Linked DNA regions of Drosophila melanogaster. The main gene of each other region encodes a partner of the protein of the gene in region 3 in a complex. Each region holds a gene or a part of one and is shown on either strand. Other genes may lie near its edges.

What was found.
Region 1: Act87E (region 3) and MRG15 share a complex: the UniProt entries of both Drosophila melanogaster proteins name them as parts of the tip60 chromatin-remodeling complex.
Region 2: Act87E (region 3) and YL-1 share a complex: the UniProt entries of both Drosophila melanogaster proteins name them as parts of the tip60 chromatin-remodeling complex.

What each region holds. Positions count from the first base shown.
Region 1 is NT_033777.3:15,272,061-15,282,059, forward strand, and holds MRG15 (MORF-related gene 15), read right to left. Parts: upstream 6,050-9,999; 5' UTR 5,974-6,049; coding exon 5,901-5,973; intron 5,841-5,900; coding exon 5,726-5,840; intron 5,670-5,725; coding exon 5,554-5,669; intron 5,511-5,553; coding exon 4,525-5,510; 3' UTR 4,380-4,524; downstream 1-4,379. Other genes in the region: Cp190 (centrosomal protein 190kD), read right to left, coding at 1-931, 997-1,996, 2,055-2,456; CG4338 (uncharacterized protein), read left to right, coding at 3,554-4,378; l(3)neo43 (lethal (3) neo43), read right to left, coding at 6,183-6,381, 6,443-6,561. UniProt on the Drosophila melanogaster protein: Part of the Tip60 chromatin-remodeling complex which is involved in DNA repair. Upon induction of DNA double-strand breaks, this complex acetylates phosphorylated H2AV in nucleosomes and exchanges it with unmodified H2AV.
Region 2 is NT_033779.5:10,966,493-10,976,517, reverse strand, and holds YL-1 (YL-1), read right to left. Parts: upstream 6,076-10,025; 5' UTR 5,965-6,075; coding exon 5,831-5,964; intron 5,771-5,830; coding exon 5,638-5,770; intron 5,562-5,637; coding exon 5,261-5,561; intron 5,202-5,260; coding exon 4,714-5,201; 3' UTR 4,425-4,713; downstream 1-4,424. Other genes in the region: ATPsynG (ATP synthase, subunit G), read left to right, coding at 228-267, 357-616; abo (abnormal oocyte), read left to right, coding at 1,306-2,250, 2,308-2,982; CG16743 (uncharacterized protein), read right to left, coding at 3,288-4,010; Tmem214 (transmembrane protein 214), read left to right, coding at 6,396-6,516, 6,590-6,885, 6,942-7,556, 7,622-7,826, 7,935-8,080. UniProt on the Drosophila melanogaster protein: Part of the Tip60 chromatin-remodeling complex which is involved in DNA repair. Upon induction of DNA double-strand breaks, this complex acetylates phosphorylated H2AV in nucleosomes and exchanges it with unmodified H2AV.
Region 3 is NT_033777.3:13,421,925-13,432,695, reverse strand, and holds Act87E (actin 87E), read right to left. Parts: upstream 6,714-10,771; 5' UTR 6,654-6,713; exon of another isoform or gene 6,518-6,653; intron 6,250-6,517; exon of another isoform or gene 6,114-6,249; 5' UTR 6,093-6,113; coding exon 4,962-6,092; 3' UTR 4,321-4,961; downstream 1-4,320. Other genes in the region: yrt (yurt), read left to right, coding at 1-831, 893-1,027, 1,162-1,281, 1,343-1,497, 1,607-1,773, 1,946-2,503, 2,927-3,091; Ir87a (ionotropic receptor 87a), read right to left, coding at 9,556-10,083, 10,137-10,659, 10,757-10,771. UniProt on the Drosophila melanogaster protein: Actins are highly conserved proteins that are involved in various types of cell motility and are ubiquitously expressed in all eukaryotic cells.

The DNA.
Region 1 (9,999 bases), 1.9 Mb from region 3:
CTCTGTTCTTCAGACTCGGCTATAAGGTTTTCGGCCCATTCCAGGTTGTCAATGGACTCTTTGCTTTCATCAGCAATGTTCTTTTTGGCGCTCTCCACAGAGTCGGCAGCACCCAGTTCGCTATAGATTTGACTGTCATCATATTCCTCTTCGGTGCCGGCCAGGGATTTTTCATCGGTCTCCTGCTTGACGTGCTCCGCTTCTGGCTCACTGAGCACCATTACCACACCGCCGGCAGTGGCGCCTGCTTGCTGCTGGTTAAGCTGTGAGAGAATCTCTTTGCGCTGCTCATCAGTAAGCTCCACCTCATTGCCATCGGCGCCCACGAATTTGACTTCCTGCTGCACCTGTTCAACATCTTCCTCTTGCAGTTGCTCCTGTTGAGCTTGCTGCACTGTGATGGCACTGGTGGCTGGTAGACTTATGTCCGAAAGGATTCGCACTTTGCCAGTCTGCTCTGGTTCCTGCTCTTCGTCTCCTTCGGCCTCTTCCTCCTCGTCTTGCGAGCCGAGGAATTCTTCGTCCGTTTCATCGATAATGCCATCCTCCAAAGCCTGCTCCTTGTGGTAGCTCTTCATGTGTCTGTACAGCTGCAGCTCTTGCTCGAACACCTTGTTGCAGTAGATGCACTGCTGCTTGTTGTCGTCCGTGTGCACCTCGTTTATGTGCGCCTCCAACTCACCCTTGGTCCGGTAAGACTGGTTGCATAGCGCGCACTCGGCAAACGTATACAGCAGCGACTTGGTCTGGTGCTCCATATACATGTGGAAATGCAGTTCCCGGTTGTTGACAGACCTCCACCCGCAATGCTCACAAAGCGCCGGATCAATTGTCTCCTTGTGCGTGTTGATCAGATGGCGTCGGAAGCCTCGGTACGACGGAATGCTAATGGGTCGTCCGTTTACGCCGCATCTCAGGCACAGCCAGGGCCCTGAAATATAGATATTCATTAGTAGTTGTTTTTGGGAACCTATTACCTACAAATGTTGTACTCACCAGTAGTATTCTCTGCTCCCTGAGCGATCAAGGCGTGCATTGTCTTACTATCAATGCGTCTCTTCTGGGCTGCGGCTGTATTTGCTGGTGGATTCGCCCCGGTTCCCTGGTTACCGGTTGTCTGCGAGGTTCCCGACTTTTGCTGAGAGCTAGCCGCCTTCTGTTGTGCTGTGATTAGTGGCGTACTCTTGTCGGCTTTGAAAGAAACGTGCAGTTTCTTGTGTGGCGATGTAGTTGCGGATGACTGGTTCGCCGGGGGTTTTACTGTCGCTGGAGCAGATTTTTCGGTCGGCGCTGCCGGGGTATTGGGCATAATCTTTAGCTTTATGTTTTTGTGGCCCTTTACAATGTGCGGATACTGGCGCAAGACTTCGGCAATGATCTTGGTGTGATTCAGCTTGGCGTTGGAGGAGTCCTTGACAATTATTGTTGGGGTCTGGCTGGGTGAGTCCTGTTTCAAGATAATGGTGGTGGATCCATGTTCTAGTTGGGTCTGTGTACCCTGTGGGGATTGCTGCTTAGATGTAGATGGCTGCGGTGGCATATCATCGTCATCATCGTCCCCGGCATGGACATCATCATAAAGCATTCCTCCATCGTACTCAGGATCGTTATCTCCGTACTCAGCGGCGATTTGCTTTCGCATCCGTTGTTGCTCAGCGAATTCCTTAACCTCTTCCAAACTGGGCTTCTTGGATGGCGGCGATAGCAGGCTTGTCTGTGCTGGTCTCTTGTTATTGTTATAACCCTTTCGCAGCTGCTCGAATGGTGACGTTGGCTCCTGCTTCACATTGCTACTATCTCCATACGGCGAACGATTTGAGCCACCTGATGTTCGGCTCATTGTGTTGCCAGTTGACCCGCGCTGTGTGTTGGCTCGTTGCGCGATGGGTGTGGCTACGTTTCGCGATTGCGGCGAAGGACCCAAGACGCGCTGTTGTGGAAGACCCGAACTGGGCTGTCCAACTGTGCGCCGGCGTATTCCCTTTGGACTAGGCGGCTAAAGAAAATAAAAGGTTACAAAATATTTTCACAAATGATGAATTGCCACCACTCACCCTTTGCTGGCGATTAACGTTCTCCATGGTGCGACGGTGCGCCTCTAGCAGCTTCAACAGCACCGTCATGTTCATTTCCTTGGCGGTGCGCAACAGCTTGCCGTACATTTTAAGCTCAAACTCCAGGGTGCCTGTGTACATGAAGTTGACAATGGGCACCACCACGTCCGCCTGGAACTCGTTGGGCATGATGAGGGCATCGTCGACGATCTCGCAGGTCTGCTCCAGTACATTGAAGTAGTCGGTGCAGGCGCTGAGCACCAGACGGTGTACCTTTAGCTGTGAATTGTCCCGAAACTGCAGCGTCAAATCGCAGTAATCCGTTTTATTAAAGAAGTTCTGCAGCTTCTGCAGGAAGAAGACTCCCCAGTTGTCCACTTTCACGGACTTGACTTCACCCATATTGCTGTGTGCTTGGCTAGTGGCCGTGCTCTCCGTTTCCGTATCCTTATCGTTAGCCTCCCCGTGGTTTCGCTTGCTCTGGCTTCAGGGCGCAACTGTACTCACGCAGGGGTAAGGAGTCGGAAAAAGCGTATTGGGATGGGACGCAGGTGAATGGGTAAAACAAGAAAGAATAACAATTAGTAAGTATGGTATATTCCGCTGTTAGTTTCAAATAGACGCCCGTTGATTTTGGGTTATTCGGTTTATTTTGCTCTGCCGCCACGGCGCGAAATGCAACTCGCAAATATCGATATACGCCTGTGTACGTGTGACAGTTTCGCGGGCGTATGTGTGCGATGTGCGCGTCGCCAGGCTTCTTGTATTATTTATCAGTAATTGTTCATTGTCCGCAATTCTGCAATGTTTTCTTGTAAGTCCAACTTTGGCATCTTTCGGTGGGTGGCATTTTTTGAGCCCTTTTGGCGCGCCTGTCCACTTCACACAACAATGGTTTTTTTGGGGCACGCACAAATCACTTTGACCTCAGCGGCTTGTTTACTGCGTGTCCTTTGATTGAATGTACTTTTTTCAGACAATCGCCGCACAATTGCACTTTTAATACATACATTTCTTTGAATTGCACACTACTTTTGCCGGACAAATTATAATTTTTTTCCAGAGTCAGGTCGCCATATTCTTTTCCATTCATCGTTGGCGTGACAGGGTTGCGCTCGGCAGCTATCGATAGCCATGCGATAACCTCAGTCTCATGCTTAACATTTTTAAGGTGACGTAAACGCAGATGAAGTTAATCGTTAAGTCTAAAAATATTTGAATATGATATACTTTAAGGTTATTGCAGTTTAAGCTAAATCTTACTAAACACAATACATATACTTAAAATACTTTAATAAATATTGTTTTGCAGTTGAAAACAAAATACATTTACTTAAACTATTGAAATTTTGAAAAGTGACATCGTAATGTGTCACATTTCTTGCGCCACCCTTCTTTGCAATCAAAATATATAAAACGGGTCGTCGGCTTGGCCACCACGAGACGTTAAAAACACTTTGATTCTTTTTTGCTTTGATAAAGTTTTAAACCAAAACATAATGAGTGGACGGAACCGCGGCAAAGGAAAGAAGGGTGGAGGAGGACCCTACCGCAATGTCAAAGCGAATCACAATTGTGCCCGCAGCTTTGCTCAGCAGGCCAACGAGCTGGCCAGCAGCAGTAGCAGCGAAAATGAAAGTTCCGACTCGGAATCCTCGGGAGATGGAGCCCAAAATGATCTCGGCCAGCCGCCGGAGTTTGCGGTGGCCATGTGGGACCTCAACCACTGCGATCCAAAGAAGTGTTCGGGCAGGAAACTGGCACGCCTAGGACTCATTTCAAATCTTCGACTGGGTCAGAAGTTTCCTGGCCTTGTCCTCTCGCCCGTTGGCCAGTTGTGTGTAAGTCCGCTGGATCGCGATGTGGTGGCCTCTTCGGGCGTGGCCGTGATCGACTGCTCGTGGGCCAAGCTGGACGAGACGCCCTTTGGAAGGATGCGCAGCCCACATCCGCGACTGCTGCCCTTCTTGGTGGCCGCCAATCCCATCAACTACGGAAAGCCCTGCAAGCTCAGCTGCGTGGAGGCCATAGCCGCCACTCTATACATCTGTGGATTCACGGAAGAGGCTCGCTGGTTTCTGGGCAAGTTCTCATGGGGTCATGCCTTTCTGGAGCTAAACGACAAGCTTCTCAATGCCTATGCAGCCTGCAAGAGCAGCGATGAGATTGTTAAGGTGCAGAATGAGTACCTGGAGAAGGAACAGCAGGAGCGGGATAAGCCTAGGGATCTTCGCGACTTCTATCCCACCAGCAGTAGTAGTAGTAGTAGCGAGACGGAGACCGAGGGCGATGATGAAGACACAAAAGCGAAACCGAAGAACTAATACAAGGTGCTGACATTTATTACCTTATGACAAAACATTTTACTTGTGTTTTAATTTACAATTTGGGAGCAAATTGAGAGCAACCACCGAATTATTGCAAACTGTTTTGATGAAATATTTACTTCAAGTCAAGAAAAGATTATTGCTTACTGTGCATTTCGCACGTACTCGGGATCAACGTTGATAAAGTTGCTCATGCTGAAAAATATTGAGCTGTTCTTTACGAGGAATTTAAGGAAATCCTGCACGTGCGTGAGTAGGTTCTGCATGGACTGCTGATCCAACGCAGAGTAGCTGAGCATTGAGCCAAGGCGGACAAACAGACGCAGCAGGTGAAAAGATCCGTAAAGCTCGGACAACGGTGTGTCCGGATGCTTCTGCATCACATCCGCGTACTGGGTGCGTTCGAATTTGTACAGCAACTGGGAGCCCAGCATTACATTGAAGTACTCTACAATTCCGTCGAGTACATCGTTTATGGCAACCTCCTTGCTGGCACTGGTCGATTTCACGGACTTCTTGTGCGCCAAATACTGCTCAGAGATCTGCTGCACGGTAACCTTGGCGGGCAGCTCCAGCAGTTTGTGCTCCCGCACCACCGCATACCAGTCGTCGGTCAGATAGTGCTTTAACTCGTCGGGTATCTTAATCTTGACCTCCACCTTAGCTGCGTAGGCCTCCTCGCTTTCCACACACGGTGCCGGCTCCGTGGTGGGTGTGGATGGAGTGGTAGTGGGCGGCAACGGCTTTTCTGCTACATCGCTTCCCGTAAGAGAAGGCCGTTGTTCGCTCATTCTTTTCTTTTTCGGCGCCACCGGCCCCTCTTCCTCAGTGGTCTCAGCTGCGGCGGGGTCTTCCTTTTTATCACTCGGCGTGCCAGGTCTTGCTGTGGATGGCGTCGATTGTGTGGACTTTCGGTGGGCCCGGCTGGTTGTAGAGTTGGCGGTGCTGTTAGTAGTCGTGGTGCCAGTGCTCCCGGCTTCCGATTTGCTTCCCGGTCCGGCGCTAGTTGTTGGTGTGCTGCTAGCGGTCGATTGCGAGGTGTTGCTATCCTTAGACGGCGTCGAGGCACGAGATTCGTTCCGCATCTGTTCCATTTTCTTGGCCTTGGCGCTGCCTGGTATGTAAACACCTTAATTTACAACTCCAGGAATTGCGTTTGTTACTGAACTCACCTTTCTTATTATCCTTCTTGGAGCGCTCGCCGCACTGGCGAGCCAGTTCCTGACGTCGCTTGACGTTGTCATCGTTGTACTTGAGGACTCGGTTCTCGGGCACCCACTCGTCCCAGCTGAAAATGAAATGGCTTTCATGCAGATCGGTGTTCATACTAGTAGCTTTGCTCACTTTTTACTCCAGCCCGCGTAGTGGATGTAGTACTCAACCGGCGTCGCATCGGGTTTTGTTTTCAGAACCTTGGCCTCGTAGATGAGCGGTCCGTGGAAGCACAGAACCCGTTCCCCTGCAAATGGCGCCAATGTGTTTAATTTGATTTATAGTTGGGCTTAAGTTATTGCCCTACCATCCACGAACAGAGTGTTTGCATCGGTCCCCGTGCTATAGTTTTCCACTTTAGCGGGTTTTACTTCTCCCATTTTATTTTCAATAATAGATAATTAACAAATCCTAGAGTGACCGTGCGTGACGCATAGGGCTATCGGATGGGACAGTACCGATGCACTTATCGATTATTTACAGGGTATTGTCTTGGTAGATATTAACAATATTGATTTATTTATGACTATGTACATCAAACAGTCTGTTTTTATGGGTTGTTTTCTTAATGATTTTGAAGGCATCAAGTCTAGTGCTTCGCTGTCGTCGGCTGATCTTCCTGCTCCTCCCAGGGACGTGGACCGCGTTTGTTCTCCCAGTTCTCTATGTCCACGGACTTGACTTTGTCGTACTCCGACTCCAACGTCACATCCTTGCGGTTTTTCATGCTTACGCCGTACTTTTTCATCTCCTCCGGCGTTACCGGCTGCTTCTTGGCGTACTGATACCTGTAAAGGGAGGAGACTCATGAGTTAGCTAAGGATTTCCCGGAGATTCTTGAATGCTAGCCTGAGGTTGGAGAACTGCTGCAGTCCAAAGGAGCCAGCCACCATCATGATGAGGAAGGGTATGCCATATTTGAACGATTTTCGTGTGCTGTAATAGTTTAATTTATCCACGAGAGACATTGTTGTTATTTTGTGTTATGACATTTTGGCACATGCGGTTACACTGCAAGTTGAGAACGAAGTGTGACCAGTTATATGATAATAAAAAAATTGGCGCAAAATTTGAACACCGATTTCTTATCATATGCAATGTAGTTATATTTTATTAAAATAACTTGGCGATAGTTTTAAAAATAATTGAATTTAAGCTAAACTATTAACAAGAATATTTAAAACATAACATTTTGTAATCGAAAAAAGTTATTTTCAATTTGGCACACAGCACTTTATTTTAGCCACACACACTAGGCGCCTATGTCAATCAATTTGTGCAGCTGGTGTCGTCTTTGAAAATAGTTGTCCTTGAATCCAAATCGAAAGATTTGTTGTCCCTGCCAAGTGCGAGCAAGTTCTGAATAATTGCAAAACATTGTTTTCCGGCGCACGCCTAATGCCCACCATTTGCATGGGGTTCGACGATAAGTTCAAGGTCCCCGCCGTCTCTTTGGTTTTCAAATAATTGACACTGACAATGTTGAAGAGCGCCAAAACGCTGTTCACATGCACACGACATTCGATCCGGATCACCTTGGCCAATTGCAGGCTTTGGCAAGGCAAGTAGCTCGCGGCGAAGATTTCCTTTTGCTGCCCACAGCTCCAACCAGTTCGCGATCGCTGCGGCTTCATTCACAAGGAGCCGGCGCCAATTGAGTCATCAGAGGCACCCCCCCCCCCCCTCCCGAGAGACTGGGATAGTCCCACACCCCTTTCCCAATAGATTATATTTCAGTTTGCAATGCACCCTACGCACAGTCTTTTAGTTGAGTGATTTGCCCAATGGGAAATAATATCATTACAATTAAAAGACCAAGGTTTTCATTTAGTATTGAACCTGATGAGCCTACAATGAGCTACATACCTAAGAAGTAAAACTTCTCCAACAACCCGTCACAAATAACTAAAATATATTTTTTATATAAAGCCAATTTCTGCCCGTGTAAACCAAACCCAGTCGTCTATGCCCCTCAGCCCGGATTAAACTTTTCCATACTATTTTCGCCAAATATGGTCGCGATTTTTCTAACAAGATTGCGCACTTGTCTGAGCCAAGCTGAGTGCTACACACTCATGAACTTATTTAATTCGCGTATATTTTGGAATTATGAAAACTTTGGTTTTCCATAACTAACACATGTCAACGGGTCGGATTCGATGGCCATGATTTCGTTTTCGTATTTAGCAAGTTGCTCAGACTGTTTTGCTATTTTACAATGTTTTTCGACGTTTTCTCAAGGGTCTTTTCCATGTCTATGTCTTCTTTGTTTTTTTTTTTCTTTGTCTTTATAAATATATTGATCTAGTTTTCTTGCTTCGAAAACTTTTTGTTTTTAATGAATACAATTACGTCATTTTGTGGGTGTTGTTTGAGTTAATTTTAAAATTTTCATCAACCTCGGACTGGCAAATGTTCTCCAAGATAAGAGAACAACAAAAAATGGAATAAGTAAATACATATATGTATATATGTTGGGGCTATCAAATTGGCTTATATTTATAGGTTTATATTTAAAGACTTTAGTTGCATTCGAACATATAAGATCTCCAACAATTTTGTTGGCGATAAGATTAAAAGGGCGTGATCAACGAGTAAGCAAGCAATCTAGAAGGGCAAATATGCATATCACCAGATCGGAAACTCAACGATTATGGGGAAACTGAATTTCAACCGTTTTCACGTTTGCAATTTAAAAAAGCATGAATCATGGATGCATTTTCTTGCGAGACAGTTACAAAAAAACGTATACTTTCATATGTGACATTTATGATTGCCAGCAAAATGTTTTCCGTTCGCAGACATGACGTTGAAAAATCTATAGAAAGAGCTTTAATATATAGAGCAGAAAATAATAATCTGTAGACCTATGGGGGAAATACGTACGTATAACTACGTGAAACAAGATTTTTTGGCATATCAATAACTGAAAATTAAAAATAGAAGTTGAGAACATCAAAAAGCAAAACAAAACGATCCCCAAACCAATACACTCTCATCGGGAAAAGAGACACGATTGCCTAAGTATTGGATATATTTTGCAATGGGCAAAAACACTGGGTGAAAAGAGCTTTTCAAAATACGGGGAAATATTCAAAAATAGGCTGAAAGAAAGGCATTCGATTCGAAATGAGTGAGCATTACCCATACATGTGCAGCGAACAGGTGAAAGCACCAAGGAAAGGATCGGAAAAGAGAGGCAGAGAGAAAGCGGAGAGAGAGCGCAGGCGCCGGGCTTGAATGTGTGTGTATAAATTGTAACTGTATTTGAAATTCTGATCTTATGCTTTCCGTTACACTGGCAGAAATCGGATAGGAACATAAATTAAATATATTACGGGCTGAGGGGTAAAGAAATGTTGTACAGCTTTCTTAACTGGCATAGCCCATTTCACTTTGGAGTATTTTCTGAATGAAAAAAACATTTAATATAATTTATAAATGAATTTCAAAATTCAAATTTGTAATAACAAAAGTAGCATGAGTAAATGATGATAAATGATAAGTGCGACATAAATTTATAAATACATTAAATCAAAAGTGCATATTAAATGTCCTGATATTAGAAAGCATGCATGATTACATTAAATATGAGTATATAAATAAGAACAAATGCACCCCTTTGTTGATTTCGCGCAGTGTATAAGCTATTGTACCCCGGCCGAGCAATTTACCGATGCTCTTGGGGTAAATTGAGAGCCAAGTGCAGTTCCAAAGTAGGCGCAGACAGCAACAACATATGCTCGCTTTTGGCCGAAAAGTGCGCACTCTCGCACACAGATACTCACGCACACAGGCGCACTAGCGCGGCGGCTCACACGCACACACACCAGCGCAAGCCGCTCGAAATCGACCAAGCGGCGAGCATCGAACGTCAACATATTGAATAAATATTTTCAGTTGAACATCACAATCCGTTCAAGTCGCGGATAACTCCGAATAAAAGTTTTGTAAGTAAAAAGGAATACGTTATCGTTGATCAGTAAAAAATTATACAAAAAAAAATACAAAGATATCGCTGAATATTTCCACAAAAATACTTGTCGAGTGCTTCAAAAATAATTTTAACTGTGCTAGAATTCGATTCTTATTTAAAAAAAAGGATCGAACCAAAAAGTATAATTACATAACCACAACGTTGCTGCAATATCTAACTTAAAATCCACCAAAGTGCTGTGCAATTCTCAACCCTAATCATCCGCAAGTATTGAAAAAAATTGAAAATTTTCCCAGTTAGAATCGAAATAAACCCAAATAGAGGTTAAGCACCTTTGCAGATCGCGAAAAAAAAACTAAGAATAACGATTCTGGGGACCTTGTCAAGTTTGTCTGCTAACCGCAAGTTGCTATATAGGGTTTCAGCTAAACGTATTTCATGAGATATATAAACATGGTCAGTGGGAACT
Region 2 (10,025 bases), on a different chromosome or scaffold from region 3:
TTTTATTAACGTTATTTAAAATTACTGTTTGCAGTTTCTTCCATTAACTTTAGAAATGTATATTTGGTATTTTTGGTATTTATCCGCCGATCGATAACTAGTGCTCCAGCCCTGGCCCCAATGCATAACATCTCTGTTTCGTCGCACACTGAATAGGTAAGTTTTCCGCACATTTCGTTGATTTCCTCTTGTATAATTCCAACTGCTTGCAGAACCAAATTGAAAAGATGGCGAGTTTGGCTACCAAGGGATCAGGACTTGTGAACAGTGAGTGTCGTGAATCGAATGCAATCGAATGGATACACCACCATTGGCGCCTGTCAATCGCAAAATTATGTAATGATCACTTTTTGCAGGGCTCCTCACACAGGCGAGGCCCCAACTGGACGTGTTCCTGAAGTACGCCAAGGTGGAACTGACGCCCCCGACGCCCGCCGATATTCCGGCCATTCGCCAAGGACTGGGCAACATCATCAAGGGAGCCAAGACCGGCGCCTACAAGAACCTCACGGTTCGCGAGGCCTGGCTTAACACCCTGGTGACCGCCGAGGTCATCTTCTGGTTCTACATCGGCGAGTGCATCGGCAAGCGTCACATTGTAGGCTACAATGTCTAAGCTTACTATAGTCTCCGCTTGGCAGTCACTGGAATGGGCAACGTAATCCCTAACAGATGTGTATATTTATATGTCTGCGAACATTTCGACTCTGAATAAAGTGAAATAGTAATTTAAAATTCCGAAAATTTTCGAAAAATACATTGTTTTTTGAAAACCGTTAGAACGTTTGCGCGGGATTTGTGTAAGCTAAAGATGAGGTGATGTAAAACCAAGTTTGGAATTAAAAGTTGACGATATTTAATGATAAAAATTAAAAAAATATATGTAATGTTATACATCAAATGTTTATGAAACGGTGTCGTAATCAAAGAGGCTAATGGTTCAGAAATACATAATATACTTAGAGCATTTAAAAGCACTCAAGAATAATTTTATTTAAAAAAAAAAATAAATAAATCTAAATTTGCTTTTCATAGATAATTCATTTACACATTTTTTTAAACAAAGTAAAGTAAGATGTATTGAATTATTTTATTTATAAATAACGTTTTTTATTTGAATCTTGAAAAGCATTAATATTATTATTATTATACTTATATTTTTTAACAACAAAACTTTTGTAGACAGAGTAAATTTTTGTAATCTAACTGCGGTCACACTTTACTTTAGTTACCTTCCGATCGGAAGAAGAACCCGGCTGACATTAGGAATAGGAACTTGGCAGAACTTTCCCAGGATCTGTCAGAATGGCCTACAAGAAGCGCCTACAATCGCAGAACCTCGTGCATCTGCTGCAGAACCGCGAGTCCGGATACACCAACGTGGGCCAACAGCCGGGCAGGATGCCGCTGTTGGCCTACGAGCGTCTCTTCTACAAGTGCATCACGCCTTGCCTGACAATTGACTCGATTACCATTCCGCCGATCTACCTGCGCAAGTTTACGCCGGATGGCAGAAAACTGTTGGCCTTCTCGCAGGATCAGCGCAGTCTGCTCATATACAGCTACGGGGGTTCTAGTTGTGCGGCGGTGGGTGAACTGATTCGCCAGGCGGATGTAGGCAGTGGCGAGTGCTTCAGTAGCCAGGACACCATACTCAAGAGCAGGATCTTTGAACGCCTGTTTCCCACAAAAGAGACGCTGAATCTATGCCAAGGCGACTTTGGCCTCTACTATCTGCACCGGGAGTTCAGTGTGTTCCTGGAAGAGGGTCGTTATGCCATGCTGGCTGCCATGACCGTTGTGCGCGGCGCACTGCCGGTCGATGACTACGTACGGTACCCAGATCTGTTCGACAAAGTGGACGCCTTCTCGTATGTGTTCTTTCTGGTGGATTTGAAGCTAGGCGTCGTCACAGATAGACTTATCCTGCCTAACGACTCCATCGTCATTGCCCACAATCATGGAATTTCCGTGTTTGGCTCAACAGTGATGATGATGTCCCGGCTGCATCAGTGCGTTTACGTCTATTGGGTGAATGACGGTAAGTTCCACCAGCAGGAGACTATTGGTCCCAGGCCGAGGGACTTTATCGAGAAGGCTACCACAGACTTTGACAATCTTGACGCCACCACAGTTTTGCCCATAACGCACATTAAACAGCGCGTCCTTAGCTTTCTGTACCGTAAAATTAATGATAAAAGTGGCAACCCGACGGAAAGTCAGAAGTCGTTTTATAAAAACTTTGAGTATGTAAGTAACATTATAAAGAGTGACAACGGTCTTCACATCCTTACATATCTCATTTAGATAGAACACATGATCATGGAGAGAATGCATCTGGTGAACAATGAACTTCTAATGTTGCGCTATGAAGAGCGGCCAAATGGTACCGATACCATGCCCATGGCTACATCACCGCGCCGCTTGTATGTATTCTACACCATAACTGGCGAAGAAGTGGTTGGCGTTTATCCGGAATATTCCGTCAACCTGCTGCAAATCTTACTGCAATTCAATGACTACATGAGCAATGATCGATCGCTGCAATTCGGTGATGCACCTTCATTGCCCATGCATTTTTTCCTAAGGCATACCTTTGCGGATTCCAATGAATCGGTCTCCGTCGATCGACATACGGCCTTGCGCTTCAACCCCAGCGTTCCACTCAGCTCCCAGAGCCTTTCCTCGTCGCCCTATCTAAAGTTCAACGAATTTAGATACGACAGTCGGTACGTGTCTCCTCTGGAGCAACCCCATCGCTGCTGCAACGATCCTATTGTGTTTCTTGACCGTGCCACGGATTCAATCAAGTTTAGACTGCACGCTACGGCCCGCCGGCATTTAAATCCTTTGGCGCCACGGGAATTGTGCGCCTTTATTTGGCATCCCTTTGACCCACTAGTGCTCAGTATCCAGAAATGCATGAACAGCTACGTCTACCACGTGCACTTGTATAACCACAGCACAATAGTGGAAAAGTAGACTGCCTAATATGTACATACATGATTTTGTACATTTGTGTATAAAACATATTCAAGTACCTTTTATATTATGAAATATATGTGATACTAAAATATCTCGTTTTACCTTTTCAGTAATGTCTTTATTTACAATGGTAAGAGAACATTTCTTTCTTTTATTTAATCAAAGACTGTGAAAATTGTGAAAATTCCAAGTACTGTTTAAATCTTTAATTCGACTTTGCTACATTGTATTGAAGGCCGACTTGAAACTTGAGGCCCAATCCGACGTTTAAAGTTTCATGTAACATTGTATCTCGACTGCGACTACGTTGAAGATTGGTGGTGACCGTCCTCGTTGTATTCCTTGTTGACCTTAAGGGAATGATTAATAACGCTCGAGCCGCCTGGAGGATAGTTCGGGGCAGGCCCTGATCCCGGGCCGCTGGCAGGCTGCTGTGCCTGAGGCTGATTGGGGATCGCATTTGGGTTGTTAACTGGATTCTGTCCGGGAGCCCCCTGCGGTGGATAGCCGCCTGGATATCCGGACGGGTCGGGTGGATACATTGATGGTGGCGGAGCTTGTTGCGGGTGTGGCGGTGGTGGTGGTGGTGGGGGCATGTACAGATTGTAGGGATATGAAGGATAGCCTCCCATTTGAGGATACGGAGGATACGGCATGTACGGATTGTAGAGATATGAAGGATAGCCTCCCATTTCTTGATACGGAGGATAGCCCGGATTAGGATATGCAGGATAATTGTACTTGTGCTCCGTCTTGGAGTGCTTGTGCTTCTTCTCTCCACTGCTGCTGCTGCTGCTGTCGCTGCTATCGCTGTCCGTCCTAACCACTTCGTACTGAAGTAGCAGTACCAGAAGGACTCCAATCGCCGCACAGCTCTTCATTTCTCCGTTTAAACGCACGACGTTCGTTTGATCTAAGCTCACGGGTATGACTAAATCTTGCTCACACAATACCTTGTCCCGTTCCCGTTCCGACAATTCAAATAGCCAGCGCGTGCGTTGATTTTGATAAGTCGACAAAAACATACAGATGCGACAAGGTTGCGGCAGGGCCCACTCAACTAATTCCCTGTAAGAGTTTAGGATTGAAAAACAATTTCATTCGGAAATGAACAATACTTCGCCCATAGATTATAAATAGAGAATACAATGGGTTAATAATTTATGTGATGTAATGTCTCATACTTATTAATTAGTTATTGTGTGTCGGAACAACCGCATTTCCTCCAGATTTTGTTATATATTGCAAAGAGAGGCTGTGTGCTTATCAATTTGACGCAAATTAAGCGAAACAATTCTTTTGAATAATCTTAATAGAAGACTGCGACGCTTTTATTATTTAGACAACTAAACTTTTAAATAGAGCGGCAATTAAAATTAGATACTAAAAGGTAATAAATGGGTTTTACATATACAAATTGGATTAGCAAGATAAACTTTCTTTTGTGTAAACTGTTTTATCAACTTCTTAAGTTAATAAACCGGATGCTGCTGATAAATAAAATCAAAACAGACTGTGCGTTGATTATAAATACTTTTTAAAGATAACGTTTTGGGAAATACCCTATGTACTACTTTTCCATTGTCGCCATTGTATGAAATATATTAGGTAATCGTTTGGTACTGCCTGAAATTGACGAGGGTTGTCCAAAGAGTAGTTTGTGATTTCTTATACCTTTTTATTCGAAAAATACGTATAGCTTAATGAACTATAAAATTGATAGCATTATTAGTTATCTCCGTTTTTGCTGGCAGCTGCCGAAGCCTTCAGACGATTCTCCTTGACCAGCTTGCGCCATTCCAGCCATTTGGCCAGTTCGGGTTGCTCGCTGCCGCCGCCTTGCTGTTCCAGCTGCATGTAGTAGGCTTCGCGCAGAATTTTGAAGGCCTGGATGCTGTAGTATGGCTGCTGTGTGATCGGGTCAAAGTAACGGGCTGGCAGCCTGGTGATTGGACAGATGCCATTGCTGGCTTTGGGAGGCGCCTTGTGGCGGAAGAGGCTTTGAAACACCTTGTCATTGAAATCGTTCTCGATTGTAACGAATGTGCGTTCGCACTTCCCAGCAAGATCCTTTGAATCGACCGCAGGGTTTGCTCCGCGAGTGGGCTTTCGCATCGCTGGCATGGTTAGTGAGTGGTAGCGTATCGTGGGTCCGGAGAACGTGCGCTTGGTGGGACGTGATTTCTTCTTCTCCAGCTCCATTTTCTGGAATTTCTCTGTGAATGCAACAGCAAATTGTAAAATAGCTGCTTCCTTGGTTGCTTTAGATACCCACCCAAAGATTTAGTGTTTTCTTCCTCGGTTATTTTGGCCTCCTCCAGCAGCTCCTCCTGCGTGGGCATGTAGTCCTCCACGCGCACCTTCTTCTTTTTGCGCTTGCGGGCATCGTCCAACTCTTTGAGGCGTATTTTGGTAGCCTGTGTCTTGATGGCCGTGGAAGTGCGTATGGATTTGCGGCCGGAATCGAGGACCGTGAAGCGTGGACGTGGCCGCCGTTTCGTTACCCCACCACCAGGTCGTTTCTTGTGCAGGGCCGGCGTTGCCTTTGTTTCCTTTTTGACTGCAGGCTTGGTTTCCTGCGGAAATCATATGTACCATTTAAACACATTCAGTAATCACAGGATTTTATCGCATTTTAAGAATGGTTCGCACCTTATAAGCCTTTGTGTTAACGACACCGCGTTTCCGCTTTTTCTCGGGCGCCTCTTCCTGATCCGAAACGGGCTCGTCGTTCTCATCGATACTGAAGTCGGAGTCAACCACATCTTCCTCTTCGTCTTTTTGCCTGCAGAGTGAATTTTATATGGCTTGAGCATTTAAATTTATTCAAATGATTAGTGCTCACTCGTATTCCTTATCCTCTTCGTCCTCCTGAAATCCACCATAGGACGTTTTGTAAAAGTCGTCCTCCTCTTCCTCATTGAGCAAATGAGCTATTTTGTTGCCGGCATTGTTGCGCCGTGATCGCGAGGCAGCCATTTTTGTTATTTATATATAGAAACTATGATTTAAAGCAGCTATTAAATAATAATATTTTACAATTTGTAAATGTAAACAAGCAGAGCAGTGTGACCAATGTAGCAAACATAGTATATATCGCAGAGGCTTTACAACTTTGGTATGCGTTTCAGCCCTGGTAAAGAAAATGGTTTCTCCTGCATTGGCAGTTATTCAAACACATTTAAAACATAGCTAAATTTATTTATTTATCTATTACATGTATCACAACAAAAAGCAGGCAGCTGCTTTAAAATCACATTAAAAAGCGGTCGGTAATTCAACTACCGAAAGTAGACCACATTACTTTACACTTGCGCTGGCCACACTCTTGGCTTGTTGCTTTTTATTCTGCCGGCTGCCTGCATTTTCTGATTTAATTTAATACCATCGATAAAAAGACTGCTCGCAACATGTCGGAACAATGGGAGGTGGTCTCCAAGTCGCGCAAGCAAAAGAATCTGGACAAGAAGGTGTCTGCACACAACGAGCAGAAGCGCATCGCGGCCCAGTTGCCCAAACTGGAGGAGCTGTGTAAGAATCTTTTAAAAGGTGCACCTTGCAATGCGATTACATGTTTGCCCCTGCCATTTTATTCACTTCGCAGTGCCAACTCAGCGGTATCGCAATTTGTTCGGCAGCAGCAACAACAACAACAGCAAGTCCCATTCCCCTGCGAAATCTAGTTCAAGTGCCTCATCTTCCTCAAAAGCCAATAAGTCGCCAGTTAAAAAGCACACCGCAAAGAATGCCTCTACCCAAAAAAGGACCACGTCGGCAGCCGCATCGAAGCCAAAGACTCTGGAGCTGGCCTTGAGAAACATCACCCGGGATGATTTTGCTGCCCAACTGGAGCAGGTGAAGCTCAGTTGTCCTGGCTCCGAGCTGCGCTGGTTAAGCCATGTATGTTTCTAAAGGAAATGTGCCTAAATATTTGCTCACCTATCGTTGTCCCCCAGATTGCGCTATACTTCAATGAAGCCTTGTCCTATGACTGCGATCCCATCTTCTCCGGCCGCTCGGCTCAGTATCCCAGCAATTTGGCCAGCGCCTCGCTCAAGTACTCAATTGTGGAGTTTCTGGGCAGTGTGGGCGAACAAAACCTGGAGTATTTCTTCTACTCCCTGCTGGATAGCATGTCAACGGATCTAAACAACAATCAGACAGTGGCAGGCTACAAGCTCATCCTACAGTTGATCGGTCAAAACTGGCCGAACATTTGTTCTAGGAACCTGGCCAAGACTGCGTTGCTAAGGAACTCCTATCAGAACCGTAGCAACATCTGCCTGAGCATCCTGTGGGCAATTGGACAAGGTGGCTATCAGTCCCTAAACGAGGGCGTTCGCGTGTGGCAGAACCTGATGCTGCCCAACCTGGAGCTAAAGCAGTACACCAAGTTTGTGGTCGAGTATATGGAGCGGGCTCTGAGTGCAGCAGCTGTCCGGAAGACAGCGGATCCTCTGCAGATCAACCAGCAGGAGTTCTTTGCCACTTACAATGCGCTCAATGCACCCTATAACCACCTGCCCAAGGAATGGCAGCAAAGTCTGAAGCGTAGTGCGCGTTTGTTGCTTGTAAGGACGAAAACAATTGATAGTTGTCCCATTGTTTCACTGACCTTTCTTCCTCCTGTGTGTAGCAACACTATATCAACAGTCCTGTGAGGCATGCCAACATATTCCTTACGCTCTTCCGGGAAATAAGCGCCGGATCCAAGCAGACTAATGAGATCGAAGGCTGTATTAGTTGTCTGCTCAGCAGCGGCAGAGATGATTGCCTCAGGGTGTGGCGCATGAACTACAAGAAGCAACAGTTGCCTAGTCTACTGCTTCTGAAAGCTATAAGTACGATCTACAGCTGTGAAAATTCATTTAATTGGATTTTTGTTTAAAAGTACCACCCACACTTAACGTTAATGTGTTATCTAATATTGAATTTCTATCTTTTCCTAGACGACAATTGGACCACGTCTACCCATGAGTTGGCTACGTCGACTGTGTATCACTCTTTTCTGCAAGATGTGGCGAATCTGAACGAAGAACTGCAGGGAAGCAAGAGAAACGAAGGTCACCTAGATGATTTAAAGGAGGTTTTGTTGGTGAGTGCGACTTAAGTATATCACTCGATTCCAAGCATAAGGCTCTGATCCCAGATCGATAAAAGGTGAATGTTGAATGTGTGTTGTTTTATCTTTTATAGTTTTATTGGAAAACTAGTATATAGGTAATATATTTATTTTGTTAGCTTTTTTAACCCAAACTTATTATTCAAACTTAAATGAAATCAGAAACACTATAAATTTGAATTTTCTCACACCTCTGGTAACACTGTTTAAGTTAAGTGGTCTGGCTTAGTACATTACGTACTCTGGTCACATTGCTTTAGTGAAAAGAAAAACGAAGGTATAAACTTGTAGAACTGCCGTCTAAAAGTGAATAATTTATTGCAATCGGTGCTAAAAAGAATGATATGAGCTTATTACACTGCAGCTAACTAATGTAAAACTCTTCACGTAGAAGTGGCCGAACTGTTAGCCGTTAATGAAGTTAGAGTTCTTTAGGAGGACGCTGCCAACGCGACGTCGCTGCGGGAAAGAGATGGAAAGCGTTAGCCGGCGTTCGTCCGAAATTTCTCCGCTATTCAACTGGCTTTTGAAGCCTGGAGTGAGCATAAATTAATGGTCCGCACCTTAATTATCGCGTTGTCGCAATTATTGTTGCTGTTGCAGTAGTGCAAAGTGCGTTTCGTGCATATGTGTGCGTGTCAGTATTAACGGTTGTGTATTCCGCCGTTCTGCACTGGTATTGGTGGCAGCTATAGCTGCACTTTTCCCATAGCGTTGCCATGCGGGTTCCAGTTGCCGCTAAATTTCTCCGAGCAGAGCAGACGTTTTGCTTTCGAAAAGAGAGTGGGCATGGCCATCGGGGATCATAAATTGCCGCATTATCAGCCAACATTCTTATCAGTACACCCAATTTTCGGCTGATCTGAGGCTTATTTTTATTTTCCTATTGACTGATGTGTTCCAGCTGCGATTGGCCACTCGCCTCCTGCTCCCTCACCCACTCCCCTCTCACATCCCGCTTGTGCGCACTCTCCTCCTCTCTTCGCCTCTTCTCCGCACTCTCACTCTCATTATTGCACAGTGGTGCAGTTTCGCACTATCACCTGAAAATCTCGCAACGCCACGATTCCGAATTCTATGGTCCAAAAAGGGGGGCGAAAGAGAACCATTTGAAGATTTGGGCTGCTTCAACACGTGGCATGTCCACTGTGACCCTGATTCTCGCTGGCCTTCCATCATTCTTTCTTTCTTTCACTCCGAAAGCATAAAACAGACGAAATTTAGAGGGCATAGTTCATTCAACTCTTTTGTCCACAGAAGAAACTATTGTGAGTGTAAATGATACTTTAATTTAGAGACAAGGTGTGTTATTTTTAAATAATGGTGAAAGTAACAAATTTAAAAAAGATTACATTTTTTCATAATCATTATGACTAATGTATTTAGTTCATTAGTTCATTCATTTTCAACGTTTAAAGTAATTAGTAAATATATCTAATTTTGAAGACCATCACAATGAATGAATACATGTTTTCTTCATTAAATTTGTGCAAAACCTATACAAGTGTTCCTAAAAATTGAAAAAAAAGTATCTACACCAATTAAGCATAGCCTGCATATTGAATATAAATGTTTTTAATCTGGACAAAATGGTATTATAACTACGTATTTCCAATTTTTAATTATCCCCATCCTCACTCGCGGTTTTAGCTTACTCTTAAATCTTAGGTCATCGAGCTCAGTCGCAAAAAAAGCTCAGTTTAAAAGCTCAAAAAGTCTCGTCATTCTTTTTAGCAAACACAATTGCAATGATAAACACAATAAATAATTAAACATCTTTTGCGAACAGCTGAGGAAATCTAGAAATACTCTTCATAATCGAAACTCATTGAAATTAAGTTAGAAAATGGCTCAGGTTAAACCGAAAAGTAACAAACAGAGCGGCAAACCAGTGCCGGCCGCCAAAAAGGTAAAAAAT
Region 3 (10,771 bases):
CCTTACGCCCACCGGAATACTTGTTTTCGAACGCGATCAGAAGATCGGCCTGTTCTTCTGGCCCAAGATCAGTAAGCTGGATTTCAAGAAAAAGAAATTGACTCTTATTGTGATCGAGGATGACGACGAGGGAAGAGAGCAGGAGCACACCTTTGTCTTCCGGCTGTACAACGAGAAGGCGTGCAAACACCTGTGGAAGTGCGCCGTGGAGCACCACACCTTCTTCCGGCTTAGGGCGCCGGTCAAAGGCCCCTCCGCCCGTCAAAACTTCTTCCGTATGGGCTCTCGCTTCCGGTATTCCGGTCGCACCGAGTTCCAGACCACGCAGCAGAGTCGAGCCAGGAGAACGGTCCAATTTGAGAGACGACCATCGCAGAGATTTGCTAGCCGTCAGTCGCACCTGTTGCGCGAACGTCAAAAGGCTTCCCAGGAGGCGGCGGTGTCGGCTGTGGCCTCGGTTAATGCTCGAGCTGCTGCCGCTGCGGCTGCCGCAGCCGCATCCCAATCGCCTGCACCGGCTACTCCCTTAGTATCTTCCCAAGTATCGACACCGACTCCTAACAACGATAACAATAACGACGCCTTCGACTCGCTCATTTCCACGGATCAGTTCATCACTGTTACACCTTCGCCTTCGGTGCTTACTGTCATTCAAAACTCTGCCATTATTGAACCGGATGCGGCTTGCAGCGGCTCCATCAGCTCCTCATCCCAGGCAGCAGCCAACTTTGCTTCGCTGGGTCGCAACTCCCTCAAGTCCAACTTCAGCAACGAGGATCCGGCGTACAGCAAGATTGGATCTATTGGCAAGGCGTCAGGATTGACTGTGAAGTAAGAAGTTTATCTATAATTACCTTTCCGTTCCCTTTTTAAATGTAACTTTTTTTTTAAGATTGGATCCAGACTACACACCACCATACTCACCGAACGCCACTAAGAACTTTGATGAAACCAATCCATTTAGAAATGCAACGAGCTCCCACCACGGCAGCTTTGGCAAGGCTTCCATTAGCTCCGGTCAGCTCAGGTAAACCTTTGGTGTATTTATACTATCATTGTACCTTATATATATTTATTGCTTTAACGTCCCGATTAACTAATTCGCCTGTTTCTGTGTTTGTTTTTCATCTGTCTTTCTGTGTTGTGTCCATCATTGTGCAGTGTTAAGAGCGGCTTGTCGGATAAAGATAGAGAGCTAGACTCATTGCTTAAGTCCATTGTCAAAGATCCATCCCCATCAGTGCTAGCAAACGAAGCCATTAATGATGCTAACAGTATCAGGTAGCGTAACCCATGTTTAGATATTAAAAAATATACTGACGGCAGTGTGATATTTTGGCAGGGTGACTATCAACAAGACCTTCGACATGGACCACAACACGGAGACACTGAAGCGCCTCTCGAACGCCAACGAGAAACCCAATAACCAAGTGAAACTGGCCAATGTGAACACCACGGCCCTGCCGCCTGGCAACATCAAGTGCAATATTTTAAAGGGTGAGTTTACCAACTTAATTGGTTGAAAAGCTCTTGCACGCCTACATATTTTGCAAGCATTTTCTCTTTGGCTTAATACTAAGGAAATATTAATTAACAAATCCTGCAGCTCGCGTTGAGGAGGAGCTGGGTGCCGGAGGCAACGCCAAGCTTACCAATCAGATGTTCGTACCGGCCGCCCACAGCAGCAACATGCACACGAGCAACACAAACAGCAGCAACAACCATGCACACAGCGATGGACCGGATTCCCTGAACGCCACCTACATATCAGTGGTAAGTTGTTGGCCAGCGAACCAGTTTAAGCCCACTGCATTGCACTCGTTTCATGCCTTCTGTTTATACGTTCTTATTTCCATTCGTTGTCCGCACTTAATGTTTATCCGTGGTATTGCGTGTGTTGTTTCCATGTGCTTGTGTCTGTATGCTTGCTAAACCACAAAAATAGGGAGGCGATAAGCTGACGCTCAGCATACCGGAACAGAAGCCGTCGACGGGTAGTAGCAGTAGTTCCAGCACTTCGAGCACCGCTACCACCACCACCAATGGAAATGGACCCTATAGTAATGCCACCTTTGTGTCTGGATTCAGTGCACCACTCACTCCGCCGTCGTCGCTGCCTGCGAATCTGAATAATACCGGAAGCGGGTGCAATACAACCCTTACCAGTGTGACCACCATCAGCACGCCCAGCAGCCCCACCGCCACCGTTAGCACGACCGCCTCGGAGTCAGTGGCTCCCGCTTTGAGCAACGCCTCGGCCGCCGAAATACTCATTAATGAAATATTCATTAACAACATCATAAACAATAATGCCAGCGGCAGTATCACTGCCGAAACTGCTGCCAAGCCGGCGGGCAGCTCGACGCCCAGTGCCGGCACCTTGCTCTTCTCCACGCTCAGTGAACAGGAGCGCTTGGAATCGCAGAAAACCAACCAGCAGATGAATCAGAGTCTAAATCTGAATCAAAACCACAGTGAAGTCGATGCGCCGCCGAGTGAAAAGGTTTGAGCACCTGCGAGCTTATGTCTACGCTTTTACTGTCTGTCTTTAAACTGGCCTCAACTATTAACTAACGTTTTGCTATACTCTTGCAGAAGGTACAACAAGTATTTTTTCTTTAGTACTTAAAACAAATTTGTGATCGGATCTATAACCTAAAATAGCTTTTTAATATGAAGGCCCCTTCCTGACTTCATCATTTGAATTCATTTAGAAAACAACAATTTTACCTACCCTAGTCGAATCACATAATAATAAGCTGATGTAAACATATAATCATCTGCAAGGGTATATGAGCTGCGGCTTGCCGCAGATGTCTGTCTCGCCTTTTTTCGTTTTCATGTCAATCTGCACTCCACTAACCATTTTAAGGCCATTGACCCACTTGACCTGCCGTATTAACACTCGTTTTGATCTTTGGCACAGAAAACTCCGAGCAATTATCCGGACAGCAGTCGCATTCCGTTTCCGTCCAGCAGCAACAGCAAAGACATGGTATCGCCCTGGCTGGTTTCCTCGGAGGTGGTATCGGCACCCAAGGGACGCGAGTCGGCCATCATTCGAAAATCCGTTATTACAACCCAGTTGTAATTATTGTTTAACAGTAACCCCTACTCCGCGTATAAGCTAAATGTTCTAATTTATAATCGGTAGCTATGGAAATTTAGGCAGACGTAACGTATTCGTATTTTATCGTAGACAAACTTAGACGAGTTTTAAGCATTCCAAGCGAGAGCAACGACAAAAAGACAATGAGAGAGCAGGTCCAATCAAAAGCATACTGTCCCTAAATGTGCCTTAATGATCTATATTTATATACTTTACATATATCATATACACCGATGCGATATCGAGGAACGAAATGTGCTAAACCGTGTACTTAATAAAGTATTCAACCGCTAACTGTAAGTGTATAGACTGGATTTTTAACAGAAAATAAAAACGTGATGTTGGGCGTTCTGCTTAATATACTAGGCTTATATTATAGCTAAGAGATGTGAGGACCGTTTAATGTGCAGTATTCCAATTAACAACTAGCAGACCACTAAGAACAACGAAATTTTAAACTGCAGCCACAAAATTGACTGAAAGTATACAAATCGAAATGAGCTGAATTGAATGTAATTGTGCGAGTATTTTTGTAAATGTATTGTCCGCCGGGGGTCCCAGAACCGAAAAAATGACTTACCACACACCAACGAAATGTTAAGTGCAAGCAATCCACTCAATTATTTTTTGTCTAAGCATACAGCAACGATGTTGAAGCATTTAAATGTATAAAATATTCAATAAAAAGTGCATTTATGCATCATGTATACAGTACAACATACCCTACCCGTATCTCGTCTATTTTCGATTTGGGCACCCCATTCCAGGAATCCCGAGTCCCGAGGAGGCCCATCTGCCTGGTGTCGTCTGTCTGCTCGATCTTCAAGTACAAGCGTCCCGGACCAGCCACACAAATGTACTTGAAATTCCAAGATATTTTTGCAGCCCCCGAGGTCGTGGCACTGCAATTTAAAAGACAGCCGGCGGTCGCTTCTCCCAGCGGCTATGTTAACTCCAAAAAAACGGCCATCTCACACATTGTTACAGTGGAACATACCTAAAATATACTTAACTAGGTCTTGAACGAAGACTGTTTTCAGCGAGCTCTTGTATTCCTAATTAGTTTAGTTTTAAAAATATATATTTTCGAATCCCTTTAAAGTTGATATTCTGACATTCAAAGTCACATATTTGTTCAATCTACTGTGGGTTGACTGTAGTCTTAGAAGACATTTGTTAATACTTCGGCATGTTGATTTGCCGCTTTTGTTGTTTCCTTTGGTCTGTATTTTTAGATCCACGACGAGGGGGGCAGCTCCTGCACCGACTGGCAATGGGCAAAAATGGACTGTCTTGGAGGCGTCTATGCTGGGATTACCGTGCTCATCCCCAGCCACATATGTACATATGTATGTGCACCCCAGTCGAGGAGATCCACCTCCAGATTTCGCTCTTTGCAGTGGGCGTGCAAAATTTCGTAATTTCCTGTGCGTCGCTAAAAATAATCGCATAGCATGCCGCTTGCAGCGAATAAAAGATACGTTTCGTTTAAAATTTAGATTTAATTTATAGAGGATGCTAGTATAATTTATTTTTAAAACTGTAAAATTTTGCATTCTTGTGTCTCCTCAACTCCTCCTTCAGCGCCATCAAGCGGCTCTCCAATAAATATTAATATAAGTATAATACATGCTGTTACAATCGCGGTTCCTTCGGTTTTCTTTGGATGGCAGGGCAGCAAGAGGTTTTAACTTAAGATTAATCATCAATAGCACTAGGCTATAGATCTTGATTTGGTATTTGGTTGTTGCTGTTCATGTTGTTCTTGTTGTTGTTGTGTGGTGTTCTGTGGCGTGGTGTGGTTGGGTCTCAATGCCCGTGTGGTTTGCAGTGTCTGTGGTGTTTAGATCGCTTAGAAGCACTTGCGGTGGACGATTCCTGGGCCGGACTCGTCGTACTCCTGCTTGGAGATCCACATCTGCTGGAAGGTGGACAGGGAGGCCAGGATGGAGCCACCGATCCAGACGGAGTACTTGCGCTCCGGTGGGGCAATGATCTTGATCTTGATGGTGGACGGCGCCAGGGCGGTGATCTCCTTCTGCATACGATCGGCAATACCAGGGTACATGGTGGTACCACCCGACATGACGATGTTAGCATACAGATCCTTACGGATGTCCACATCGCACTTCATGATCGAGTTGTACACGGTCTCGTGGATGCCGCACGATTCCATTCCCAGGAAAGAGGGCTGGAACAGCGACTCTGGGCAGCGGAAACGTTCGTTGCCGATGGTGATCACCTGTCCGTCGGGAAGCTCGTATGACTTCTCCAGGGATGTGGAGGCGGCGGCGGTGGCCATCTCCTGCTCAAAGTCCAGGGCAACATAGCACAGCTTCTCCTTGATGTCGCGAACGATTTCACGCTCAGCGGTGGTGGTGAATGAGTAACCGCGCTCGGTCAGGATCTTCATCAGGTAGTCGGTCAAATCGCGACCAGCCAGATCCAGACGCAGGATGGCGTGGGGCAGGGCGTAACCCTCGTAGATGGGCACGGTGTGGGAGACACCGTCACCGGAGTCGAGGACAATACCGGTGGTACGACCGGAGGCGTACAGCGAGAGCACAGCCTGGATGGCCACATACATGGCGGGTGCGTTGAAGGTCTCGAACATGATCTGGGTCATCTTCTCGCGATTGGCCTTGGGGTTCAGGGGGGCCTCGGTCAGCAGGACGGGGTGTTCCTCGGGGGCGACGCGCAGCTCGTTATAGAAAGTGTGGTGCCAGATCTTCTCCATATCGTCCCAGTTGGTGATGATGCCGTGCTCGATGGGGTATTTCAGGGTGAGGATACCACGCTTGCTCTGGGCCTCATCACCAACATAGGAGTCCTTCTGTCCCATGCCCACCATTACGCCCTGATGACGGGGACGACCCACAATCGAGGGGAAGACGGCGCGGGGCGCATCATCGCCGGCGAATCCTGCCTTGCACATTCCGGAACCATTGTCCACGACCAATGCGGCAACCTCATCGTCACACATCTTGGCTACTGGCTGTTTTCACTGCAACAACAACGAGAACGGAGGCGGTTTTTAGAAGGAGAAGTGAGAAGTGGGCTTTCGGTATTCGGATTGGGTATGGATTTTAATTGTAATCTTGTGTGTAAGTGTGAAATTATGAAATACGTGTAGGTGTTGCCTCAGAACATGTATGACTTTAAAAGAAAGAGTATCTTTGCAGAGGAGCAATCATTAAAATTAATAAAAAAGGGCTGTCTTCAACTTTTGAAAATATTACATACTTTAATAAAAGTTTTAATTAATTATAATTTTTGATTTAAGATCAAACAACTAATATTTTTCAGTTTTAACATTTTAAAGAATGTTTTTTTAAACAAAAATTAGTCACTATTAAAAACCAAACATTTAAGGATCGTTGATTAAACTTTTTCTGCTCCTTGTCAAATATGTTGTTTGTTGAGATCTCTATCTTTCCAAAGTATCTTTCTTTTCAGAAAGTTGGGCACTGTACACTGGATCCAGCATCGGATTGGGTAAAAGTCAACCAGACAGACGGAATTGGTGGATGTGGAGTATACTAACCGTTAGACGAAGAAAAACTAGAAATCCAAATCAACACTTTCGCTGTAGAACTGCGAGTGGTCGCTGGACCGAGATGCGCTAATATTTATACCATTCTGGCGACCCTCAGTCGTTTTAGATATTTTCCGCACGCACACTCAATCGCCTCTCGGCACACATGTGCACATGGATGCACATTGCGCCGGCGGGGGGAGATTCTGAGTTTCTTTTAAAAATAATTTGTTTTCGTTGGATTTTTGCTTTTGGACTTCTGCTCGCTTCGTTCATAATTTCCCAGATGGTGCACTGCAGGAAAGATGGCTCAAAATATGTTATGAGAAAATATAGATTTTTGTAAAGCGCATATGATGGAATGAAAATAATCAATTTTGTACCTATTTTCTATTGTGTAATGATTTTCTAATATTAAAATATCATACCACAAACTACTTCTTAAGTATTATTATTATATTATTAAGTAAATATGCCAGAAAAATATTTAATACTTTTAATTATTTGGTTTAAAGCTAAGTAAAGGCTTGTGAACTTGGTGATGTTTAGGTCACAGCTTTCAACATTTTCTCTTTGTGTAATATCGACTGAGAAACAGAGAAACAGACGGATCTGAGCGCCTTGGTAAACAACATCGCGATGGCACACAGACACTCACACCCGAGAAGATCCTCCGGATCGGAGCATCCCAATCGTAGGCGTAATGTTTGCTCTCCATCCGAATCCGAATCGTTATCTTTATATGTATTTGTATCTGTTGCTATATCTTTGTCTGCAGCTGCGGAGGTGTCTGCAGATGTATGGGTGGCGTGTTCGTTTTTTGTTTTGTCTAATTTTTAATCAACATTTGCACGTTGGCCCAATCCATACATGGTTGCGATGGAAATCTCTCAGCGATGATGAGAACGCACTCGCAATTAGAAATAAGAATTTCAAAACTAAACCAAAACTTATATACCGCCGCATTCTCTCGGCCATAATTTGTTGGGTGTGGGCTGTTTTTCTGGGTGGGTGGGTTGGTTGTTGGTTTTGGGGATAGCTGGTTAGGGACCCAAAAGCCATAAACACAAACGGAAAATTGTTAATAGAGCGAATAGTGCATTTATAGATTTGCCAGATTTTTTCGGTTGGCCAAATTGACATTAATTAATACGCCCCAACTTATTTGGCCATTAACATTTCTCTTCGAGTTTTTCTTCTTGGCACACACTCATCAATCACAAACGAGATCATTGAAAGCTATTCAGTTAATGATCAAAACTCTTAATAGACTTATATGGTGCTATGAGAATTTTTAAAAATAATAACAAACGGAAAAATGCGTTTGTTGTTTACACTACACATATTCTCTCAATTCGTTGAGAGTGTTGGTGTGGGTGGGAAAACCGTGTATGAGATGGAAAAGTCGGGGAAAGCAAAAATAATTTAAATGAAAACCGTGCGCTCTCACGTTTTTGCAAGAGATTCTTGGACGCTTACGCGTAGAAACGTATCTAGAGTTTGGAATTCTATTTTTAGTAAGGAACTTACGAAATTTGTATATTTAAATCTAGATAAGTATGCGAGTGGCCAATTATCACAGGTGAGGAAATACAATTTCTTGACAGAAATGATTATGTACCGTGTCTAGTACCTACTGGAAATGTCTTAACTTTTATTAAATATTGTATTCAATCTCCATGATCCCCACTAATGATGTTACTTTCCATAAATAATATAGAATTTCCCACATATGTATATATGCGTTCATTCACTCTGTTTTCCCCGCTATCAGCTGAGTAATCGGCAAACATTTTCACAACGCCTTGTTGGGCGCCATTCATTTGGTTTGCCACAACGCCTAGCTGGTCATCATTAATATAAAAATAAACATGAATATATGTTAACAGTTGTGTATTATTTTTTTGTGAAATTTTTCGGCCCACATTAGCTGCCCAGCAGCTGATTGAATTGTGTTGGCCAGCAACAACACAAATCTGCCAATTTGATGATACTGCAACAAATGTGCTGCCTGAAAATATTATTTATAAAAATCTGAGAAAATCACATATATTTGATTGTGGCAGCGTCTTCCGAAGAGGAGGCACCAGCCAACCAGCCAGGCCACCACAAAAAAGAACATACCAGGTCGAGCATTGGGCCACCACCACCTTTTAAGGATGCGCCAAACAACGGAGGAGAATGCCGACGACAGCTTGACGTTGGCGGCGTGCGCGCTTGTTTGCCTTTCTGACAACCAGCCGCATCGCCAGCAGCTACGGCTGCGGATGCTACTACGGATATGAGTACGGAACACGAGGAAAAATATTAAGAGTTTGTGCAACAGTGAAAAACTCAAGTAGCTATCTCTACCCTCTACCAGCCACAAGTACCGATGCAAACAATCAAAAACCTTTACATATAAATTAGTGAACATTTATTATCAAGCTTAGATGAATTTTGACATTTGGGACATCTGGGAAATTCGCCTTTTATTATCTAAATCAAAATGATACGCATTTTCTTACTGTGCAGCGGCCAAGTAGACTGCATTACACGGTGTATGGCAAAGCTGTATTTTTAAATTGAATATTGTGCCAAGAAAATATTAATATGCAAGCATATTTATGAATCTCTTCAAGCATTATTTCGATATTTTTAATATTTAATATGCATTTAATGCCTTTAATTCAATGCACATGTTTGGTTATACAGGGCGTATGCGTGATCAATATATATATGTATGTGCAATGTAAAGAATACAATATGCAGCTATAGATGCTATATGGGCTTTTAAGATTTTATTATAGCAGAAATGATTTTGTTATTACTTTGTAAAGTAGCTATACCCGTTTCTCGATTTTTGATTATTTATTTATTTTGCATGTCAATTATCATAGAAATGCCAAAGTCATTTTCGCCACTTCAATTTCTAATCATGTTGAATTTTAATATTATGAACTTTTTTCGTGATTTTTTTCGTTTTCCTTTCCCTTTTTTCAGTGCGATAGACATATTTAACGTAGCACAACTCGAAGGCAAAGACGCAGCTGGCAACCAACAAAAGTCCCCCGGAAAATGCGATGGCTCCGCGAAACTGATCAAAGGTGAGAGCCTTGAAAGGATCTTCTCGCACCCTTGTTATCTCCTCGTGGATCATGCGTCGCATGTCCAGATCGCGTGCCCACTTTTGCATGTGACCCGATTCGATGATATGCTGAATCACCGGGTTTATCTGGTGCAGCAAATGGTACTTCTTCGGCAGTAGCATGGTAACCAAATAGACATACAGGGATTCTCGGCGGTCGAAGCAGTAGAGACGATCTCGTTGGATTCGGGGATTGTAAAAAGAGTGCTGTCTGGAAACAGCAACGGCGATATGTTCGTTTTGAGCTGCATCATTGAGGCAGTCCACTAAATTGTAGCACATCTGAAACTTTTCGCGTATGTACTTGAAGATCTAAAAATGAATTCCCATTAATTTCCATGATCGAAAATGGGATAGTAACTCACCTCACCATCCTTGTTCAGATGTCTGACATGCTCGGAGGTGCCCATCACGGTCATTTTATTGCTATAGATCTCTTGCAGAGTGTGGATCTGATAGGAACTACGTGGAGTTGTCAGTGTGCTGATCAGAAAACTCTGATATGTGTTGCTAAAGAAGAAGCCCATTAGAAAAGAAAGCGCAAACAACTGCCTTAATGTAATTGGAAAATCCTGTGCCGGAATGGCCTGGTTAAGCAAGATTCCCAACACCCTCAAGCAGGTGGGGAAATATCCATTGAGATTCCGCAATTGGAAGCCTGATACGCGTTGAGCCAGCCAAACAACCAGAGAGCATGTAACCACAAAGATTCCAATCAGAAAGCCAGCATCCGCATTGAAAGTGGCCACGAAATTGAAGAACCCATGTCTGCGCTTTGCCCTGGCCACACACCATGTGAGTTCGTCCTGGTGATAAGGAATGGAACTGGAAACGAACTGACTGATGCTCGGATCTTCATCTATTCCTCCGACTATCATCTCTATTTCACTGCGATTAAATATAAAAACATAAACTAATTATTTATTAAATAAAAAACGGGACCGAGTACGGGACCTTATATTTTATATATATTAATCAGGCTTACCCATCGATCAATTGC